Caenorhabditis elegans: one gene and its partner. The protein of the gene in region 2 interacts with the protein of the main gene of each other region in a pairwise test. Each region holds a gene or a part of one and is shown on either strand. Other genes may lie near its edges.

Evidence for each region. Proteins that work in one complex are often made in the same cells at the same time.
Region 1: the proteins of unc-73 (region 2) and madd-2 interact in a two-hybrid assay, tested with the Caenorhabditis elegans proteins (one study listed by BioGRID).

What each region holds. Positions count from the first base shown.
Region 1 is NC_003283.11:1,233,760-1,237,513, forward strand, and holds the start of madd-2 (E3 ubiquitin-protein ligase TRIM9), read right to left. Parts: upstream 1,687-3,754; 5' UTR 1,676-1,686; coding exon 1,444-1,675; intron 1,259-1,443; coding exon 1,151-1,258; intron 439-1,150; coding exon 3-438; intron 1-2.
Region 2 is NC_003279.8:4,030,140-4,033,893, forward strand, and holds the start of unc-73 (CRAL-TRIO domain-containing protein), read right to left. Parts: upstream 1,601-3,754; 5' UTR 1,489-1,600; coding exon 1,468-1,488; intron 1-1,467.

The sequences.
Region 1 (3,754 bases), on a different chromosome or scaffold from region 2:
ACTTTCTCTCTCCATCATTTGCTTGTAATAAGTTATGTTTTGCAAGTGGTCCTCTGGCAGGATGCAACGCAGTTTGACAAGGTGTGCAGTAATAAATGTCGCATTGCTCGCAAAACACATTTGCCATTCGATTTTCACTCCCCTCGCATAGCTGACACTGTGACGATGCTTCATCGGACGATTGAGAACTTCCAGAACTTCCAGAACTTCCAGAACAAGACGGCGTTAAGAACGCCTTGTCCGGATGGGCCAGCAGATACCTTCGAATCACGTTTTGCATTGCGAGATTCGTGGGCGCGCTGACGATCGAGTTCTCATCGCAGAAATAGCTCGGCTTTTGACACGAATTACAGACAAGTTGCACGCCGCTTGTGGATGGTGTTAGGATGTTGTGTAGGCGGGATAGAGGTGGACCGATGATGCTTGACGGTCGACTGGCTGGAAAATTATCAAAGTTGAAGAAAGTAAATTCTGATCTCTGAATTTTGAACCTGAATAAATTTGAGAATCTTTCTCAATTTTGACAGGATTTTTAGAAAATATAGGAAAATTGAATAGTTTGCACTATAGTCCAGATGATCAGGCAGACACGTTTTGCCTGCCTACAGGCCCACTTGTGCCTGCCTACCGACAGGACTGTCTTCCTCCTTTCGAGTAGTTGAAAGTTTTTATCAAAAAAAATTGTTGTTTCAGATAGAAGCGCGTGAAGTGCGGTAACTGTTGTTGTTATTTTTATGCAGTTATTGCTATTTTAATGCTTTTATCTGAAACAAAAATTTTTTTGGTAGAAACTTTTAACTACAAACTTGTTTTTTACAACAATATCAACAACTTTATAGTTGATGACTTTTCTGAAAAAAATTTATCCACGGAGATATAGGCTACCAAAGTGAATTTGGAAAATTGCTTCTTTTCATCGTTACAGTGCTTCGTTATAGTGCTATTTTAGAATCTTTGAGAGCTCGCAGTGAGCTTGGTTCTGGACATTCGCAGCTCAAAATTCACGAGTAACCGTTTTAAGACATGGGCTATCGAATGGCATAGGTTTCATATGCAAGTCCGATGGGCACCTTCTGATGGTTCCCTTGTTAGATTTACACCCAACAATTTTTATATAGGTTGTAAGCCAATCTCAAGAAAATCAACTCACTTCTACCACATCCGACGACTCCAGAATCGGTCTCCGACACAACTGATAGCTTATCACTTTCATGGTCCCCATTGTCCGAAACACAAAGTGACATGGTGTCAGATGCTCCTGCAAACATTAATAATTATTAGTTTTTTTTTCCATTCGTATTCAATTAGTTTCCATTCTTCATTCAATTCTTCCCTTTTGTCGGCACCTCGGTGCCGAAATTGGATTACTCAATACCATTAACCCAATGACATATGGTGTCAACGAGTTAACCAACAAAAAACAAAAAAACCACCAATACTCACCACTACTACTACCAGCACTTTGTGGGGAGATCGGTGAGCTCGCCGAGCTCAGAATTTGTGACAAAATTCCAGGTGTCGAGGGACGTGGCGATGAAGTGGACGAGCTTCCCGACGAGGTTGACGGCTGGTGGGCTTTCAGGGCGCACATTCTGCAGAGACTGTGGCCGCAGGTAAGAATGATGGGGTCTTCGAAAAATCGAATGCATATTGTGCATTTGAGCTCTTCCTCCATTTTTGAAGGGACTGAAATTTGAGTATTGTCAGGTGGAAGTTGAAGTTGAACAAAAAAAAAGAAAAATCTCGGATCAAGAAAGAAAGTTGTTTTATATTTTGAAGTGCATGTGTGTGTGAATGTGTGCAAAGAGCCGTCGCCTACATAAACGCATAAACATATGACATGAAACGTTATGAGAAAACATATATTCAAGAAAAAAAATTCAAGAAGCTCACCGGATGAAAATTCGAAAAATTCGAAAATTTTCACTTAAAAAAATTTCAAATTTTCCAGCAGAAAAAAACATATTTTTTTTTCTTAACGGCTTACGATTAAATACTCTCCAATAATTAAAAGCCCTCAAAAATTAGGTTTAGGGCAATTTTTGAGCCCTTAATTTTTGCACTCTGGAATAGAGCTGGGCGGCATTTTTTCGGCAAACTCACAAAACTGGCTTATTTCAACATGATAATCCAAAATTTTTTGATCTAAAATTGATATGGAAATGTCGAAAAAGGTTTGTTCTTTCCGAAAATAATTTTTTTTTTTTGATGAAAAGTTTGAAACAATCCTCAAATAGTGTCTGAAAAATGCCGACAAAAACGAACTTTTAGGTACTATTTGAGCACTTTTTCAAGCTTTTCAAAAAAAATAAATGATAATATCAAATAGAACAAACATTTTTTTTTACATTTTTAAATCAATTTTAGATTCAAAAATTTGGACCACCATGTTGAAATAAGCCTAAATTTTGAAAACGAAATTTTTATAGGCCAAAGTAAAGAATTTACTTTGAGCGAGCGAAACAATGAAATAAGGTTTACAAACACCTACATTTCATAAATTTTTGAAGAAACAGAGTAGAACGGAGCAAAAATAAAAAAATAAAAACAAAAAATTCCAAATCAAAATAATTCTTCCCATACACATCCTGAAAAGAACACCCAAAATTTTTTTTCAGTCATGGGAACTTTGCGGAAGACGAGAGGACACAAAAGACGGAGAGCTAGAGGCGGAAGGGAAACGTACGCGCGCGGAGAGAAAAGTAGGCGGGGCTAAGGGATGGGGAAGGAGAGGCGGGATTGACATGGACGGGGATGCGATGAGACAAGATGGAGACAGCTTCAACTGATTGTGCAATGAATGATCGATTGGGTGATGGTAATGAGGGAAAAATGAGCAAGAAATTTCAAATTGAGAGGCTTTTCTGAATTCTTGAATTTTCTATAATTTCTGTTCGTTCTCTTCATCCCCGGGCCCAGCCTAAGCCTAAGCCCAAGCCTAGGGCTAGGCCTAAACCTAAGCCTAAGTCTAAGCCTAAGCCTAAGTCTAAGCCTAAGCCTAAGCCTAAGCCTAAAAGCCTAAGCCTAAAACTAAGCATAAGCCTAAGCCTTAGATTAAGCCTACACCAAAGCCTATGCTCACGCTCGCCACTGACGCCAAGCTTAAGCCTGAGCCTACACCTAAGCCTAAGCCTAAGCCTAAGCCTAAAACTAAGCCTAAGCCTAAGCCTTAGATTAAGCCTAAGCTTAGGTCTAAGCCTAAGCCTAAGCACAATATTGAAAGGACTTTTCCCATAGAATTTTAGCACCCAGTTAGACCACCTCTAAGTGTTGCAAAACTTTAAATTTTTGACCTTGCAGCTAGTTTATCTTCTCAAAAAGTTCTGCCAAATTTTTTCCCACAAAATCTCTGCCGAACACAAAAAGAGTAGAAGTCTCTCAGAGCACTGCTGCTGTTTAATAATTTTCTCGTTCTCGTGGTCGCAAAATGATGATGATGATGATCGGGGGGCCCTCCAACGAGCTCATTATTATTTTTGCGAAAAGATTTCAAAGAAAAACTTTTGGATTTTATCCGAGTTCTCTTCTCTATATAAAGTAGCTCGGGAAAGTCTAAGGCGCCTGTCACTGGCTTAACCCGCACCGAGAGTTGGAAGGAGGGTATAAATAAATAAACATATTCACAGAAAGGTATCAAGTTGGTGTGTCTTGGGTAGAGAGAGAGGAGATATTCACAAACCTTTATACGGAAACAATGAATAAGCTTGGAAGGGGGAAAGGTGGAAAGTCCTTCGGGAAGTATGATTAGTGAAAG
Region 2 (3,754 bases):
ATTGATTTTAAATTAAAATAATCAGTACAATGTACTCAAAAACTACCTATAAAAGTTTGGCTCTTTTTGTTTATTTTGTGAAAAAATTGGGCAGAAAAATTTGTATTTGAAAGAAAAAAGACTGAGAGAACTTTTTGTAAAAGCTCAACCAGAGTATTTTGAAGTTGACTAGTTTACTTGCAAGGCAAACCAACACGAAAAAAAACGAAAAAGGAAGAAAGAAAACCCGGCACACAAGAGATTTTCTTTCATTTTTTCTTTCTTTTTCCTCCAATTTTTTGCACTACAACAATTCTCAATGTCTTCCCCGATTGCCATAAACTGCCGTCATTACACACACACACTATTCGGATTTTTTTGTTGGTATTCGTTCTCTCTCACATTTTCCTCGCTTCTCGAGGTCATAATCCTGTCTCGAACAACAACATACTAGTAGTAAGATTGGTGCTAATCGAGAAGGCACTCTTTGAGAGTACCATCTGTTTCAAGGATTGAGGGAAGAGCTTGATAAGCTCCCACTATTTCGTTTCTTTTCTCACACAACTTTACACAACCGGTCACTATTATCGTGCTATCTGCGTCTCTCCATCTCATGATCTATCCGGAAATAATGGGTGAGAAGAAGCAGGAGCACCGGGAGAGCACCGAATTTCGGAATGAGTGACACAAAACAATTGACTCATAACATATTTCAAAAACGTGATGAACTCATTTTACACTTTTCAACAATTGTCTGGGAAGGTTTGTAATCGTAATACATCAATTATTATGATTTATTTTTCTTTAGTTTGGACCTAATCAAGATTTATAGTCGTGAAAAAGAGTAGAGATCTCGGAAATTTTTTTTTTCAATTTTGGCAAAACTTTAAAGTTATATTAAATTTTTTAGTTGCTGTTTTGGTGTTAATTTTTTCTACTACTCATAGGCGAAATTTAACGATTTTTGTATCAAAATACGGTACCCGGTCTTGACACGATAAAATTTTATTTGAAGAATACTGTAATCTCTAGCATTTGGTTTTTGCGGAATTTTCATCAATTTTCATTGTTATTTATAAAAAAATTTTTCATCGGAACAATTTTACAACAAAAAAACTGTTAAACACATAAATTTAAACAAATATAGAGAAAAAAATCAATAATCAACTAAACTACAGTAATCTTTAAAGGCTCATCAAAAATTTGTAGTATCGAGACCGAATACCGTATTTTTATTGCAAATATCGCAAAACTTTGCGTCTGGGCAATATTAACAAAACAAAATTAAATTATTTGAAATTTAAAAATTTGATGAAAAAGACATTTCTCGGAACATTCGAAAAACAAAAACGTATTCTTTTCTCTATCAAATCGTACAGTTTGCACTCGTTTTCCGCATTAATCGCTTCAATGGATTACGGCGCCGGCATCTCTGCCTCTTTTTTCACAAGTTGCCGCTGCCGCCACCATGAAACTGAAAAAACTCACTTTTCCATCATAATCGCCCATAACTGATGGAGGAATTTTATGCGAATTTGACGACTCTTCTTGAATTCAAAATAATCATGTGCTTCTGAATGTCTGTGTGTGTATTGTGACGATCAGATGAGAACCCGTTTATCTGAAAAAATGACAGTTTTCAAAGAATTTTAAATTTCTTTCAAAAAAAGAGATTTGAGAAAATAAAATAGAGTGCGTATTGAAAAGAGAGAAAAAGTTGATTTTCGATTTAAATTTTCTGATGAAATATTGCTCGAAAATCATGGAAAATCACACTAAATAAGATTTTAAAAATCAAAGAAAAAATCGAGACAAAATTATTAATTATTATGGAAAAAACAAAATTTTCCAGAACATTTAAAAATAAGTGCATTACAATTTTAGAAGCTTTTCATATAGCTTAACATCTTCTTGGAACAAGTTTGGTATACAAAATATTTCAAACAATCCGGAAAAAAATGGCTTAAATCGGAAATTGGCAACATGTGGCTTGAGCTAATTTAATTCTATTTGACCCTAGTCTAAACAATCTCTTGCCAAATTTTGGTCAAAATGGTCTTGCCAATTTTTAAAACTAAATTTTAAAGTTTGTTTTAAAATGACTGACTCATTGATATTTTTGAAGAAATTCTATACTCAAGCAGCTAAAAATAGGATGGAAAAGGTCGAAACATTGCGAAACGTTATTAGATCTTCTCACTAGAATACGTACTTTTTCAGGAAGTATGCATTATTCAAATGTCTTCACTGCATAAAATAAAATAAGCAAATAAAGATGTGATGAATCTAGTCTCAATTATTAGTTGCACAACGCATTACAAATCGTTGGGTGTGAAAATGCGAAAATCGTGGAAAAGGAAGAAGAAAAGGAAGAGCTACCAAAACGAACTATTTCTCTCAAGAGGGCCCAACCATTGGGGTGGGCACCGCTCCGGGAATAGCGTACGAAAGCGGGAGACAAGCGAATTGTTATGGGAGGCTAACGGCCGTTGTAGCAGACCGCTGGTCATATGAGACAGTGCTAGTGTCCTGTAGAGACGCAGACGTAAAAAGAGAACGCAAGGGTCACTGCGCGCGCAGACGGATGTTGATGGACCGGACAGACCGCCGGGGACACAACAGGCAAAATAAGAAAGAAGACATGAAGAAGACGACGACGTGAGATGGCGGTAATGGTGGCAGGTGCAAACGATGCAGGCGACAGATGACAAGAAGTATGTTAGCAACACTTCAAATATAGATAATTCTGTTTAAATCCTTTCTTCTCCAAAATTGAATTTTTCAATTGAACTCAATAGATGCTGTTGTGAGCTCTAGAAGTTGTTGAGATGTCTTTATAATCTAATCTCTCAAATTCTTTGAAACTACTTGTATCTGAACTAGAGCATTTTAGTTCAACAGGCAAAACAGATCAAAATTTAATGCAAAAATATATAACAAATAATTTATTAATCAGAAAATAATTTTCATTTAAGTTTGAAAATGTGAAAATATGATTAAAAATTGCATGAAAGTTGCCAATTGCTGGAAAAAAGTGTCAATAATTTGTCTGATTTATTCCAGCAATTTTCACCTTTCAGACAACTTTTAAGGATTTTTTTTCAACTAAAAAATTATTTTCAGATCAATCAATCCTATATTTTGACACTAAATTTTAATGAAAAATATCAGACCAACATGCCACATCAGGCCATTTTGTAGAATTGTCGAAAAAATTTAACGTACACCTCTGATCTGAACAATCAGTTTTTAGTGTCGGTGGAACACCGTAAAACAAAATCCTAGGAAATTTTAAATGAACTAAATTGAACTAAATGACCAAAAATTGAACTAAATGACCGCTATCGCCCTAATATCAAAAATAATATCAATTCCACTCAATCCTACAGTAACAAGTCAACATCAGAGATATTCTCGAGACACATGGTGAAGATTGGATTTCCCAGAGGATTATACCACCACATGTCTCTTCAGCCAAACAGTATACGATGACCGTTCAAGCGGAAATCATAAAACAAAAGGGATCGACACTTGACAGTTACTATCATTGGAATATTATTACCCCCGTTCAGTGAAGTTGTCACGTGGTGCATTGTGGTACTAATTTTTAAAGGTAGTAACCGACAATTTTTTGATGTTTTTTGATATTAAAAATGACGCAAAGATAACGAGTTTCATAACTACATAGATTTTTCAATAATGCTTACAAATGTTTTATGGCGGCTCAAAGTTAAGGATATTATTAGTGAGAGAAAATTTATGTAGAAACAATGTG